Notamacropus eugenii: one gene and its partner. The protein of the gene in region 2 purifies or fractionates together with the protein of the main gene of each other region. This does not show direct contact. Links are inferred from orthologs where the notes say so. Each region holds a gene or a part of one and is shown on either strand. Other genes may lie near its edges.

Region 1 (7,884 bases), about 23 Mb from region 2:
ATTTCTGCTGGCTGCAGATTTCTACACAATATACTCAAAGTGACACATGGGTATGTGTTCACTGTATGCCACAGAGAACTGACCTAGAGTGTTCATTAAGCATTTATTGCCTAAACTTTTCTGAACTTCTCATTTCCAGCCATGCTGCTATCCCCTAAAACTCATATATTTCGAATAGCAGGATTTGCTTTAAGAAAGCAGTTTTTGCTAATGCTAAAAGAAAAATGGAATTGCCTGGCTACTTCTTTTGAATACTGGTGGAATTCCAAAATGTTAACTCATCAGCTTCTGACTTTGAAAAGTAATCACCACAGCTCAATTCCGGAGTTAGGCCAAACTCTAACCCAATCTAAACAAACCAGCGGTCTTATTCCTAACCTCCAGCTCTGAAGAAGGGGCAGCCCTGAAAAGCTTGCAAATAGCTCAATGGAGTGAGTAAATCCTGGAAGTATTACTTACTGAATCAGATTTTGGGAGAATGACAGAACATTGTTTAAGTAGTGAATTAGCATTTCTGGGATTAAAATGGCATCATCTGAAAAGTTTCAGCCAGGAATTATACAGTACCGCAGTGATGCTACCATTAAGGAGAAGCCTGCTGCCAAGTAACTGTTCCCACCCCGGTCAGCCTTTCCTCTTGAAACAATAAAACTTTCTATAATCTACCCTACCATCATTCAAATGATCCCAAGCTCTCAAAAATAAAATCCAGACACTTCCAAATATTCTTTCCCTCCCCACCTCCCTCCACTCCAGGATACTTAACAACTGAAACTTCGACTCTTGCAAAAGAAAAAACATAGGATACTGTTTTATTGTTCCCACAAAATCCTCCCAAAGCTGCTGCACCAAAGAGCTGGTTACAATTACAATTTTTTCTGTTTTCTTATTATAGGCATCTCTACATAATCAGCTTCTAAGAAATCAGACCCTACTGTGTATTTGTTTAGGCAAATCTGTCATTTAAGATTAAAAACCTCCACAAAATGTAAATTCACATGAATGGAGTAAGAGGAAATGTTTCCAAACATGGAACTACAGGTCAAGTGTAAGGGGTTGGTCAATGGTCTTCCACAACAATCTCATAAAGTTAGAAACAGTTTGTTGTGTGGGTGTGTGTGTGCATGTTTCAACCTCAATACCTATATACAACCAAGGTCAAAGAAAACAAGACTGAAATCTTAACATCTAGGTGTATTCTACAGAACTGAAGAAAGTCACCACTTTTAAGAATCAGATTAGGTCAGTCTTACCACATGATGAGAAAATAATAATTCCTTTTGTGCCACTTAAATTGGGTTTTCCACTGTCTAAGACTTGAGTCAATGCTCCATTCTCAAACAGAGAGGAATTGGATTATTACAACAGAGAAAGTATACACTTTTGCCTCATCAGTACTTTCATTCATGCAGACACAAGGAACTTGTATAGAACAGTTAACAGGGCCAATGAAACAGAAGATTCTTGGCAAAACCAAAGAATCAAGAAATTTCTGGTTGCAAGCTTTCTGAAAGACTAAAAATACCTAAAATTTTTACTTAAAGCACTCCTGAACCAAAAGTGCAAACTAACTTCTCACTGAAAGCTCCCTGCAAAAAGAATCAGGCTAGCACTGATACAAAGAATAAAGTCAATAGTTAATCATTAAGAGGGGGCAACAGTCAGGGCATTATTTCCAAAAGCTTCTCTACTGCAAATCAAAGCTGTGTATCGGACTACAGTCATGAATCCATAGAAAGATAATATAACTCAATATATAAGCCCTTTTTTATGGTATTATTTTGACTAAAGTCATTATCTGATTTAATCCAAATCTTTCTCCTAATCTCTTAATATTGCTGAAAAAGCTCCAAAGAAAAGTATATAATTTATAGTTCTAGTATGTGCTGCCTGAAGAGAAAGGTTTTGCTGCATTTTTTAAAAAAGCATTTATCATGTTTGGGAAGGAAAACAGCAACTAACATGAAACCAGATCAGGGAAGCTGGCAGTCCATCTTTGGTGTCTGATTAATTTGAAGAGTACACCACCCCAGGAGTCCAACTGTACTCTAACTGCAAGGCAGTTTTCAGTCACTACAACTCCAAAATGGGAGTTGGCTACCCTCAGCTAACCCAGTGTTTATACATGACTTTCAGAGTAATGGAAATATATTTCACCCAGTACATCCTCATTTTTCCACCATCCTCAATCCCCCAGAAATATAATGTGGTTATCCCAGGATATAAAAGGCAAAAACGGACATCTCTAAGGTTTGACAGCTCTCACTTTGTTCCATCATCTCTGAAAAAGAAGGTGGAGTGGCTGTCACCCACACCCACGGCCTGTCTATTCTGACCATCCCTAAGGCAGCAGCACCAACACTGTCTAAACAGGACAGTTCAATGAGGTATCTTGGTCAGTAAAGTTTTTTCTGCCACTCATGGTACAAACTTCAGAACAAGCCAGCGACACCCATCAGAGAGCTCCCCTAGAGAACCAGAACACCAATTTATAAACACAACTCTTCCCATTAGAAACAGTTAACAAATACTAGTGCTTTAGCTGAGGGGAGGGGTGGTGAAGCAAAGATTAATAAGGAGAGAAGAGAAAAATCATAAAGGGATGAAGGAGACGATGCGGAGCTGCCCAACAATTGGGACCAGGAACCAAAGACCAGAGAGAAAGGAGGCTGGGAGTAACAGCCATCCTCAGCTTCATCCTTACATGTGGGGTTTATCTCTAGAGGCATAGGAGAGAAGTTAGAAGGGGAGGAGGGAAAGGTCAAAAAGGGAGGAAGGGAGAGCCCCCCTCCTTCCCATAAGCACTCTCCCCAACTGCCCACTCCGAGTTCTTGACCCCCTTTCCAGGACAGAGGCGGGAGCACACAGCACAGCACCACGCACACACACGCGGGCACACACACGCGGGCACACACACGCGGGCACACACACACGCGGGCACACACACGCACACACACACACACACGCACACGCGATGCTTCTCTCTGCCCATCTCGTACTCACCATCGATGTTCTCCCGATCGCTGATGTGTTGCAGGTTGCAGCCTGTGTCCTCCCGGCTCAGCTCGGTGTCGGGCCGATAGGACTCCAGCCGGGAGTGGGCATTTCTCCTGAGCTTGGGGCTGGACGACACACAGCAAGACGTAGTGTTCCCCATCTTCACTGGCCTCCCCAATTCCTCCTCCCCTGGCTTTCTCCTTCTACCACTTCCCCAACCCCCCCACCCCGGGGATAGGGGTGCAGGGCAAAGGGGCGGGGGCAGAGGAGGGAAGGGATGCGGGGGGCACAGGGGGTGGGGATGGGGGTGGGGGAGGAAGAGGGGGCGTGGGGTCTCGCTCCCCGCCGCGGGGGGTGCTAGCCGCAGCCCAGCTGCCCCGGTCAGCAGCTGCAGCAGCGGCCGCGGCGGCGGTGCCTAGCCATGGGCGGCGGAGGAGGAGACAACGGGGAGCTGGGGGAGGAGGAGGCGGAGGAAGAGGAGGAAGAGGAGGCAGCGGAGGCGGAGGCGGCTTCCCAGGCTGCCCCCTCGGTGGCACACGCTCGCCGCTCTCCCCAGTGGCTCATCCAAGCGGCCCCGCACCAAAGCACGTCCTGGCTGGCTCGGCGGCGCCGCGAGGGGCAGGCAGACCCCGAGCGCTCTGTCTCCCGCACACACACACACATGCACGCACGCACACTCACACTCACTCGCACACGCGCGCGCGCGTGGGGCTGCAGCGGTGGCGGCGCCTAAGTCATCCCGCCGCAGCCAGGGGCCGGCCCGGGGCTGGGGCGCGCCTCCGGGCCTTGGCACTCCGTCCGCCCGGGCTGGCTGCGGGAGCGGCGGCGGCGGCGGCCCCAAGCTGCCTGCTGCAAAAGGTTCCGGTTCAAGGGGGTGGTAACCGGAGCCGCCGGCCAGCCAGGCTGCGGAGCCCGAGTGCGCGGCCGCCGGGGCGTCTCCGCCTGCCCCGCGCGCTGCCCGCGTGCCCCCGGGCCGCCGCCGCCCGCCGGGAGGGGGGATTCCTCCGGGCCGCCGCCGCTGCAGCCGCCGCCGCTGGGGGAAACCCCCGCTCCCGCGACATCCCCGCCTCTTCTGCTGTCGCCTCCTCTTCCTTTTTCGAGGCGTCGGCTGCCCTGGAAGCACAAGAGCCCGAGCCCGCGGCCGGGGTGCCCGGGGTGCCCGGGAGGCAGCGTGCGCCCTGCCCGGCCCCAAGGCATCCCCGTCCTCTGCGGAGTGCCTGGGGCAGCTTCGGCTTTCTTCCTTACAAAAAATAATAATTCTTTCCATCTCTCCCTCAGTTCCCCGCACTCCTTATCCAAAGGAGCCGAACGGGAGACTCGATAGAATATTTACAAAACATCTCAATCTGTGTTTCTTTTCCCTCAAGCAAGATGGAAACCTGGCACAGGGAGAAACACTGGCAGGGGAGAGTGAGTTTGCCCTCTTTTGGGGGGCCCAAATGCTGGCTTCATAATGTGAAACCAGAAGTAGAGGGAAAGGAATCAGGAGGACTAGGGAAATTAGATGGGGCTGAGTTAGAGAGAGATTGGATGGAGAACTGGGGCAGAGGAGCATCACATTTCAGGCTGGAAGGGATCTTGGGGTCATCTAATCAAAAAAAAACCCTCGATTTTACAATGAAGCCAAGAGAGGTTGTGACTTGTCCAGGGTCACACTGGTAGAAAGTGTAGGATGAGGCGGGTAGGAGCAAGAGGGATGATTGGGGCTCGTTGGAAGGAAGAAAGAAGCATTTTTTGTGACAGTCCGGAGAATGTGTTTTAGTGTTTAAAAAAAAAAGTGGGGCGGAGTGGAGATGGGAACTTGCACCTTGAGTCAGAAGATCCCCGGTTTATTTTAGGGCAATGCCATTGATTAGTTGTAGACCTTGTTGAAATCATAGAATGAATTCCCTTGTGCCCCCCAGCTGCGGAGGGCACAGTCACTTGAAAGTTAAGCGTCTATACAAGAATCAAGAAAAATAGCATTATGATCATTACAAAATGTTGAAATTATTTTTAGTAGCAAAGTGCTGGTTATCACTTAATCAACAAGTATTTGAGTGATATTTGCCAAACGCTACGCTATATACTAGAGATACAACAACCCAAATGAAGCCTCAAGGAGCTTACATTCATTCTATACATTTAGAACTAGGAGAGGGTTTAAAAACCCTTCAGCTTTAATATTCAGTCATGACTCATAATGACCCCATTTGTGATTTTCTTGGCAGAGATATTGGAGTGGTTCTCCATTTCCTTCTCCAGTTCATTTTACAGATGAGGAACTGAGGCAAACAGGATTAAATGACTTGCCGAGAGTCGCTCAGCTAGTAAATAAATGTCTGAGGCCAGATTTGAACTCAGGAAGATGAATCTTTCTGACTCCAGGCCCAGTGCCCTATCTACTGACACACTTGCCCAACTATGTTGTCATATAGAAAGAGCTTTTTAGTCAGAGGACCTGAGTTCACAGCCTGTGATCTGCCAGGTACCATGCACGCTAGGAATTAGAAATAAAACAACAAAAATAAAAGTCTTAGGGGCAAGGTTTAGAGGTCATCTAGTTTAGATGCTGTCTAAACTAGAGGTTATCTAGTTTGGACACAGTATTTATGCAACCTTGGGCCAGACATTTAATTACCCTGAACTACCATTTCCTCCGTATCAAAAGAGGTGGTTGAACTAGGTAATCTCCCAATTCTCCATCTGTGATCCACGGAGGTATTAAATGACAGCTGGGAATCAAACCCAAGTTTTCTGAAATCCAGCACTCTTTTCGGTGATAATAATGGTTCACCTTTCTATAATGCTTTTAAAGTTTGCCTCATGCACTGAACGGGAGCCCATTTTGGGTAGTAGTCAGGTGGCCGTGCAGGTGTTGTCCATGAAGCAAACCTGTATTGCCAGTAACTGTAAACTAGAAAACTCTTCTCTTTCCCTTCCCTTCCCAAGTTTGATGCAGCCCTTTGGAGCAGGGCAGGAAGGGATGTAGAGAGGTAATCAGAAGAGTATTGAATTGTAAGTTTCTTGAGGACAGGAGACTATGATACTTTGACTTTTTTGTATTACCAAGGCATTTGAGAGTTGTTCAAAGGGTACTTGAAGGTGAATGAGAGAAAGGTCATTCCCAGGAATTTGTCCTTGTGATTAGGATAATCCCTGGAATGCTGAATTATTTCATGGTAATGATATGGGACAAGGTGACTTTATGTGTATATCATTTTCTTCCTTCTCTCTGCCCCCTTCTTTCCAGGAGTGGGGAAATTAAAGATCAGAATGGAGAAATTGGCCTGAATTGAAGTTGGACTAGACTAGTCTAGAACAGAGACTAGGCTAAACTGGGAGAACCTGAGGAGTACAGCCTTGGTAATAGCCCTGATAGTCTAGTTCTGGAATCAGTGATTTTCTCTGACTTCCCTGGAAAGCACTAGGCAAAATAGCAAACTAGGCATTTTCCCTTATTGTCCTCTTAACCCAATACTTCTTTGTATTGCAGTGATCTAGTTTATTCATACTGTTCAAAGATACCCATTCCCAAACTCGCCGTCTAGTCAAAATTTTACTTCCTTTGTCCCTCTAAATGAGTATCACCCCCTCACCCTCCAAAATTCAAAATCTGATTACCCAAGTGATCTATCTACCCAAGAAAGCCTATGTAGGTATTGATCCTGGTTATCCACCCTCTCTTGGCATACTTAGAACTGTGTTCTTAACTTTTTAATAACTTTTCTGTTTCACTGGTTCCTCCACCTCCCATTCCCATCATGTTGGCATTCCCCAGGGTTCTGTTCTTGGCTTAATTCTCTTTCTTTGCTCTTTCCCTCAGTGATCTCATCTACCTCACTGGCTTGCCCAAATCTCAATTTCTAGCCCCAGTTTCTCTGTTGAGCTGTTATACATCTGCATTTCCAGCTGTTTCCTAGACAGCACCATCTGGAAGACCTGTCAGCACTTCAAACTCAACATATCCAAAACTGAATTGTTTATCTTTCCAACCCCCACCCTTCCCAACCAGCTCCACCTCCTGGCTTCCCTATATTTAACACTACCAACCTCCCAGCCACCCATATTTGATACCTGACAGCCATCTTAGACTTTCTTTTCTTTTGTCCCCACATCCAAACAATTTTCTTCTTTCTCCCATCTAACTTCTCTTTGTCCACTTCTACCATTTCAGTTCGGATTTCCATGCCCTCTTTCATACATTATTTTCTTAAGTTTTATTGCTGCCTTATGCTTTTACATCCCAGTCCCTTCCAAATATGTCTTTTCCCTTTTCTAAATCTTAATCTTCTCTGGTAACAATAACCAAAAATCTGTTAAGCAAAACCAACCAAAATATCACCAACACCTGAAACTATTTTTGATATTCCGCACACATAGTTCTTTACCTCTCCAAACAAAGAAAGATTCATTTCCTGGGCCAAGCTTAATCATTTTATCTCCTTCAGCTTCATTTTATTGTCCTTTTTTGTTTACTGTAGTCGTTGTATGTGTTCTTTCCCTGACTATTCACTCTTAGATTCTTGCAGCAGCCTCCTGACTGGTCCCCTTCAGTCTTCTTCCCCTCGTTTACCAATTCATTCTACTTCTGGTATCAGATTAATCTAATCAGACCATAATTGATCATGTCATGCCCTTGCTCAGAACCTTCAATGGATCCCCATTATGTAGCCCATTATGTATATATACAAATGTACCTTTCCAAACTTCTCTCCTACTATTATTCCCCTTTATGTACCCTATTCTAGACAAATTGGACTGCTTCCTGGCCTCTGCAAATTTTCTCTGATTTCCTGCCTCTTTGCCTTTATACAACATTGTTCCTCCATCTGGGAATAACCTTCCGATCCCATATTCACCTATTTTGCCTATGCCTATTTTCTACCCATCCTTCAAGACTCAAAT
Region 2 (8,332 bases):
GCCATCTTCAAACAGATGCAATTCCTGAGATGATGTTTCAGATTTGGAATTATATATTCACTGTACAAGATGCAGGAATTCAGGATCTGTCTTCCTATTAAATTCAGTGCTGGGACAAGCTAAGTCTAAAAAAAAATTAGTTGTGTACACAAGAATTATCTAAACCATAGGATTCCCACTCTCTGTTCCAATACACTGTTTCAACAGCAAAGTTATGCCAGAAGGAAACGTAAAGAAACTTAGTTTGGTTCTGGAGAACATGTCCTAACTTCCTAACCTTGGCCCTCCAAAAACATTTATAAAGATACATCTTCAATCATGTGAACAACGTGTAGCAGATTTCCACCACTCTTTAGTTCGTTTTATTGGCATCAAATAAAAACCAAAGAGATGTGCTGGACAACTACAATAATTCCTAATTAGAAGGGACTGCAGACATTATTTAGCCATAAGCCACAAACATTCCTAACTAGCATCAATGGGTGACTTTCCGATTCAATTATACAAGTCTTAGGAGGGAGCCCCAGTGGATATCCCAGTCACTCGCTGGCAGACCTCACAAATTAGGGCTCTATCGCTTGAAAATCAATGTGTTTTATAGGTCCTTTTATAGGTAGTAATCTCAGCTTGTCCATGGTTACTGAAGGAAGGGAGAAAAGCTTGCAGGACCAATTTAATAGAGGAGCAAATCAGGCCTTCATGCTGGCACTCCTAACTTCTTGTGGTCTGCATTATAAACACTGATTGAACAGCCAGAACTTTCAAAGACTGTTCCTCACTGTTAACCAAGGTTTCCTAGTTGGGCAATTTGTCACTGCTTGCAATTAAACAATGCCACTGTGTATCACAAAGATATTTTAAACTACCCTTAGGAATTGCACACAAAATAAAGGGCAGAACTAAGTCAGTAAGAAGGATGCTATTTCTAGCAGGCATTCTGCAATAATCCCATCTGAGTTGAACAAGGGAAGGAGAAGGGTAGTGGCGTGTCAAATTGCAGAACCGGGAAAAGTATCAGCAATTTGATCCCACCATGAACTACCAAGACACAGATAACTGATGTATGAAGAAAGCCAGAAGACTCCAAGTTAGATCTGTCCCTTTGCCCCTCATTTCACAGCACTTTCTTCCAAAAGCTACAACAGTGCAATCTTTTAAAATTTTAATTCCAGTACAATAAAGTTCCAATTAGATAAAACCCAAATAGCTAAAAAGTCTTCAAACACAATCTTTACTTTTAGGTAAAAGAGGAAAATTACAAGAAAATAAATCGATAGCAAGGATAAATCCAAAAAGCAACTTCCAATATATTATCCAACCTCAGTGTGGCTTTAACCCAATCTCCTAGACTTTGTAAATCTATACTTTTAATTAATGTTTGGGATGAGGGCCTTCCGGAACTCCAAGAAGCAATCAGTCATATTCACCACACTGTAAAGCAGGAAAATTTACTCATATTTTTAATATCTCAACAAAGGCTGGAAAGGAAAACAACCTAACCCTCAATAAACCTGAAATTTCAATTACCCACAATATTCCACTTCCCCAAGATTCTACTTAATCTATGTCTTACAAAATGGAAATAAAAAATGAAGACTTAGATATTATTGAAACATAGACATGGTTAATATTAAATTTATCTGTTGTGTTCATTTCCTTAGTTTCTTACCAAGGCAACTGACATTAATTATTTAATACAAAACTGGCTTGACTCCAACGGAGTCATTAATATTAGAAAATACACAGTAAAATGTTTTTAAAACATTAAGCTAATGGACTGCAAGAACAGAGGCCTATATGGTCATCTGGATTAGAATCTGAATTACCAGTATTATTAATAATAAACATTGCGCACGAAGTACTTACAAATGTATAAGTACTTACAAACAAATGCTCTTTTTAATCTTGAAACTTTATTTCCTGAGGATTTCAAACTCTGATGAGGGAACTTACAAATATACCATATACTTGCAAGGAAAACTTGGATGTTAATATTAATTCTGGGCTTGAGTTTAAGACTCTAAAGGGAGATTGGGCTGTTGTACAGTCTGAATTGACTTACCTATTCATAAGTCAATGGAAAACAAAGACACCACCACTAAATCCATATCCTCAGAACTGACTTTTAGTTGAGAAAAGATAAGGGAACAGGGAACATTTTTAGGGTATGTTTGTAAATGTCAAAAGTTCATTTAGCACAAATATTCTATCTGCGTTAAACTACAGATATATACATGCAAACACTACTTAGAGCCCTTTTGTTCCTTTGGGAGTGGGGAGGGGTGGAATTGGCCATTTCCATTAACACCTTCACCAACATGGCCATTAAAAACCTGAAACAAAGACCCAGTGCCTGTGGCTCAGTTTAATAAGCGGCAGAACGTTCCTGCTGTTGGCACCACCGCGCACAGATGACAGTGACCCGGGCACCCTGCTGCTGCCTTCCCAAGTTGGCTAAGTCAAAGGGGCAAGTTCTGCTGTCAGTCCTTGAAATCCAGGAAACAGTTACAAGATTGGTCTTTACTAAAAGCCTGAAGTTCCCAAAAAGTTTTTTGGAATCAAAAAAAGAATGAAGTCAGCCGTTCCCGGTCACTGACAAGGGGGCTCTTCGCGGTAGGTGGGTCTGGCACACGTTCTGTAAAGCATCCACAAACGGGGGTCTCGGTGGCCCCTGGCTACCATCACCCCTGGCATTCCTGGAAACCCTAAGTGCCCGCCCAGAGGTGCCCCTGGGGGCGGTCACTCCCTCTGGGGTTTCATGGGTTGGCAAATGTCCCCTTGAGTTTCGGTTCCACCTTTTCAGGAACCCCCAAAGCTGCCCCAGCCGGCCGGCCGCGGTCCGGGGGAACAACCGGCCACACCACTGCCCCGCGCTGGGAGGAGGATGGGGGGAAGCGAATAACGGACTGGAATCCCCACCAAGCGAGTGTCCTGCGGGCACCCGCGGGCCCCCCGCGCACTCAGCCCCCCGCTGACCCCCCCCCGGGGCTGGCGGAGGACGGACGGGGGGGCCCGGCCCCCAGCCCCCAGCCCCCCAGCCCCCAGCCCCCAGCCTCACCTATGCGGCTGAAACTCTCGGACAAAGTTCGGCGCAACTTCTTCATCCTGCTGATCCGCTCCGCCGGCTGGGGCTCGATCAGGTCACACATCGGGACCGCGGGGCCCGGGACACTTCCCGAGCCCGGACCCTAGCCCAGGCAGATGCGGGAGACCGGGGGGCGGGCGGGGCGGGGGAGGAGGCTCAGCCTCGGGCGACGCGGGAGGGCGCGGAGCGGAGCCGGGCGGACGAGTCCCGAGCCCCGCGGGCCTGGCCCCGCCGTCGGGGCTGCGGGGCGGGGCGGGTGCGGGGCGCGGGAGGAGAGGGTCCGAGGGGCCGCGGATGCCGCCGCCGCCTGCTCCCCGCTCGCCCAGACTTTCTACGTGGTGCCCCGGGAAGCGCCTGCCTCCGCCGCGGAGCTCCCCGCAGCCTGGCGCATTGCACCCCCTGCGTCCCCCGGGGGCCGAGAAGCTGCGCCCAGGCCGGGCCGGGGCGGCGGGCTGCGGGCGGGGGGTCCGCGGGAGAGAAAGGGGCGAGGAGCCTGCGGGGGCTGCGGCGAGGGCGGGCGGGGGAGAAGTTGTCGAGCGCCGCGGAGCCGAGGCGAGGGCCGAGGGCCGGGAGCGGCCCGGGTCGCCTAGGCGGCGGCCGTCCGTGGACCGGCCGCGCGAGCCCCGGAGGCGGCGGCGCGGGGCGCGGAGCAGCGGCAGCGGGCGGCGAAGGCGGCGGCAGCCCGGGCTCCCCCGCTCCCAGGCCGCGTCATCCCCTCCCTCCTCTCCCCCTGCCTCGGAGCGGGAGCAGCCCCCGGACGGCCCCGCCCCCGCCCCCTCCTCCTCCCGATCCACCCAGACGCGCGCGCGCTCCCAGCCCGAGCTGCCCGAGACTTGCGGCTCGGTGTCCGGGCCGGGGACTCCCCGAGCGGAGCCTTCCTTCGGCGCCGGAGCCTCGGAGCGGCGCGAGCCCGCGGGACGGGGACCCGCGGGGTGGGGGCCGGCGCCGAGAGAAGTTGGTCGTTGGGATCGGAGGTGTTTCTCCTGCCTGAAATTAACGATGTGTGAAATTGAAAGGAAGGGCAGGCCGGGGAGCCCGCTGTCCGCCGCGGCTGTCCGCGGAAGGGCCAGCCGATATGCGGCAGGCTGTGGTCCATCCTTCAGCTGCCCAGGCAGCTGTGAAGGGGAGGGACCTGCAGAAAGCAGCGAAGCACCCCCTCGTGCTGGAGGGCCCCTCCGAGGCCGCAGAGTTCACTCTGCCTCCTCTTTTCACCTTTGGGGAAACTGAGGCCCAGAGCCACGAGGTCCTTTGTCCGAGGTCTCACAGCTAGTTGTTGCAAGGCACCTACTTGCAGCTAGCAAGTCTCTTTTCACTAGTTGCAGCCCTCATTTTGACTCTTGGAAGTGGCTAAGCCAGGATTTGAACCCAAGTTATAAGATCAAGGATTTAGATCTAGAAGGGACCACAAAGATCGTCTTATCCAAAGTGAGTTGACTCACCCAAGGTCATACAGTTAGCGAAGGGGTTGTCCTATTTTAGAGGCAGAGACTTCCAAACCAGTATGCTTTCTTGCTTTCTGGAGACAATCGGGGTTAAGTGACTTGCCCAGGATCACACGAGTAGTCACTGTCTGTGGTGTAGGATTTGATCTCAGACCCTCCTGGCTCCGGGTCCAGCGCTCTGTCGACCTGGACCCCTAGCTGCTTCTTTCTAATATACTATACTGCCGCAGAGCACCCACCTCACCCTTCTGCCTCAATGGATACAAAAAGAAATGCCTTGCCACCTCCAACACTGGACTGCTGAGAGTTTGCAATTGTACAGTTTGCAGACAGACATCATCTGGATCCTAATAAGATGGACTTCATCCAAATAACCAAATGCCAGTTCCCAAAGGGAGAGTAAAGGAAAGTGGGGGAGGGTTAGAATGTGTTGTTTGGGGCACCAGCGCTTCTTGTGAATTCAAACGTTAGTAATCTTGAGTCATCTGGCTGTGTAAGCAATGAGAGACGTTGGGAGGGTGTGACAATGCTGTTTGCTTTAAAGGAAGTTTGAGAGAATATGTGTTTTGTTAAAAGATTTTTATCTTGCAACAAAAACTAACTCCCCCTTCCTTAAATTGTACCTTGAAGTACAGGGACTGTGTCTTTGATTTATTCATAATAGAGCAGAGCACATTAAAGGTGTTTAAGAAATCTCATTCAATAAGGACAAAGGGGGTGGGAGATTGGGGGGAATAACCAAGTTCTGACTTCCGGGAAGTCTAGTAGTGAATAGGAATTGCGAAAAGAATTACTCATAGATACAGTATGTATAACAGCAATAAAATAAATTACCAGGCATTTTGATACTGATGCCCCTGTCTAGCTATCATAGAAAGCATCCTGTGTGGTCCAATTCAGGAAAAGTTTTCTTTTTGTCATTTCCTCATGTGAGTCAGAGAGAAAGTTGTCAGCAACACATGTGTAAGTGATGGAACAAAGCTTTTCATCCAGCATCCCAGGATGTCCATGAGCTCTCCCAGCAGCTACGAAGCAAGTCCAGATGCTCTTGGCAGTTCTGCCAATGATTTGCTTTTTAAAAAAACAAATACTTTAATCCTCCTTTACCTTCCCAATTTTTTTTAAATAAACTTCACATGATTAGAAGAGTGAAAAAGAATTAGCTCCAATCCATCAATTTCATTTTTTTCTACTCTAGTAGGAAAGATGGTTGTAACTTGGCTAAAATGAAACTTTGGAAGTATCAATGGAGATCTACTATCCATAATCTCCCTCTTCCCGTCATGGTTATCCATTACCATGGATAATCCCCTGGCATGGCTGATCTTAACTGTTAAAAAAAAATGGAAACCAAAACGTAAGTTTTAAACTGAGTACCCAGATGAAGCAGCAGCTAAATCTGATTACTGTTACAATGACCAATAGTAATGTGTTTTCTCTTGAAATTCAGTTCAGTTCCATTAAATAAACACTAAAAAATACATTCCAAGTCCTGTGACCTGACTCCTTCTTACCTTTCCAGTCTTCTTACACCTTACACTCCCACTTATTATTCTATCCAGTACCACTGGTCTCCTTTCTGTTCCTAGAACTTTATGCTCCTATATAGCAGTTCTAAGCATTTCCACTGGCTGTTCCCCTGGCCTGGAACTCTCCCCCATCTCTTACCTCCTGGCCTCCTTCAAACCTCACTTCCTGAGGAAAACCCTTCCCAATCCTCCTTAATCTCTGTGCCTTCCTCTTAGCCTGTCTGTCTTTCCTTTGTCCCTCGTTGTTTGCATGAGCCCCTGGAGAGCAGAAACCATTTATTACCTTTCTATCCCTAGTGCTTAACATACTACCTGACACATATAGGCACTTCATAAATGTTGACCAACTAAATGACTAGCTTTGTATCACAGAGGATAGAAGGACAAAGACAAAATGGTCCCTTCCATCTTGCACTTTGCATTCTGCTTAATAGAATTTGGGTGATCCATTGTGCAGGAACAGGGAGTGAAGACTGTGATTGGAAAAGGGTGATGTGCATCTCCTTCCTTTCAGGAGGACCAACGACCCCGTCGTTAATTGGATTTAAGTGAGGCAGAGCTGCATGAAGTTGTCAGCCAACACTTTCTCCTCCATTCAGTGAAGTCCAGGGGCAAGACAAAGTCAAGATGACTGGCTGTGGCCCAAGATGCAGTGGATAACCTTGATCTTCCTAAAGTAAAATTGACTTAATCAACTGGCAAAGGAATTGAACGCCTGACATTGTTTATTTTACTCCAAAGCTCTACCAACTAATTGAGAAAACCAGAGACCACTAAATATTTGAATGCTCCCATGCTCAATGAGTTCTGCAGAAAATGTGAAGTAGTGTATAATCCAATTCATAAGCAAAACGCAGGTTTTTGTATAACTCATTTTTTGTGAGTTACAATTATAGAAATGGGGCAGGTAGGCGGCACAGTGGATAGAGCACCAGGCCTGGAGTTAGCAAAACCTGAGTTCAAATCCAGCCTGAGGTACTTACTAGCTGTGTGACTGGGGGCAAGTCACTCAACCCTGTTTGCCTCAATGTCTTCATCTGTAAAATGAGAAGGACATGGCAAACTCCTCCAGTATCTTTGCCAAGAAAACCCCAGCCTGGGTCACAGAGTTGGACGTGACTGAACAACAAATTATATAAATATGTATCAATAAATCTATTATATTAAAGATAGACATAGAAATAGCACTATTAGTGTTGTTATTATTATAATTCCATACTGTTAGTGTATAGAATTAAGATTTAGGTATAAGGACATATTAATAGAAAATTATATTCAAATTTATATTGCTCTTTCAGTGTGGTATAATAGATGGTTGACCCACAAGCCAGGAAAATCTGACCCATACCGGTTCTGTTACTGCAGGCAGATCACTTAACTCCCAGTCTTCTAGTTAATTATCTAAAACTGAGCTGTAGAGAAGCTGCTACCTTGTATTGTTAGAATTTCTTTACCTGGGAGTTATCCCGTTGAAATCATAGGCCCAGTCACCATCCCTTATTATAATATTAACTGATGGATGGCCCAGTTTCATTGATCTCCATGCAATGTCTTAAAATCTAAAGAAAGGCCCCCAGAATGAATCCCCATCACAGATTATTGGAAGAATGTGAATAAGGTAAAGATGAGTGGTCATTGATGGGCTGTGAGCTCCATTGTTGGAAGGAGTACATACATGGATGACATCCCTGATCCACTGAGCATAAAAGCATTGATATTACAAATGGATTTGATAGGTCTTGACCATATGAGAATCAGAAACTCACAAAGTTGAAAAACACTTCTGATACTTCTGAGACCATACCTGAAAAAATTATCCGATAGGTATTCCTTGAGACCCCAACTGAAAAATTCAGATGAAGGGCAACACAGGGCAGCAGCTTGAAATTAGCTCTAGCTTTTAGAGACTTTCCAAGCTCAAGCTCAAATTTGCCTCTTTGTCGTTTCCATCAATTGTTCCAATTCTCACTGTTTGAGGACAAGTATAACAAATGTAAGCATTCTCCCATATACCTAAAGACAACCATCATGTTGTTTTCTTCTCCAAACTTAACACGCTCCAGTCCCACAACTAAGTCTTATATGATGTTCTTAAGGTGATTTTCCATCTGGCTTCCTAACCCTGGAACATTCTGCAGCTAATTGATGTCCTTCTTAAAATGTTCTGGCCGAAACAGAACACAGTACTCAGACCAGATGTGGTCTGACCAGGGCGTGGTACAACAGGACTCTTTCTTTATTTCTCTCCCACCACTCTGTTGACTCATATAAAATTT

What was found. The genes of interacting proteins can lie anywhere in the genome.
Region 1: the proteins of CDK14 (region 2) and CCNY purify together in Homo sapiens (affinity purification with western blotting; 3 studies listed by BioGRID and IntAct, with this or other methods). This does not show direct contact. The link is inferred for Notamacropus eugenii from reciprocal best matches to the Homo sapiens genes CDK14 and CCNY.

Annotation. Positions count from the first base shown.
Region 1 is NC_092874.1:75,448,492-75,456,375, reverse strand, and holds the start of CCNY (cyclin-Y), read right to left. Parts: upstream 3,158-7,884; coding exon 3,004-3,157; intron 1-3,003. UniProt on the Homo sapiens protein: Positive regulatory subunit of the cyclin-dependent kinases CDK14/PFTK1 and CDK16.
Region 2 is NC_092874.1:52,477,836-52,486,167, forward strand, and holds the start of CDK14 (cyclin-dependent kinase 14), read right to left. Parts: upstream 3,298-8,332; 5' UTR 3,150-3,297; coding exon 3,059-3,149; intron 2,895-3,058; exon of another isoform or gene 2,063-2,894; intron 1-2,062. UniProt on the Homo sapiens protein: Serine/threonine-protein kinase involved in the control of the eukaryotic cell cycle, whose activity is controlled by an associated cyclin.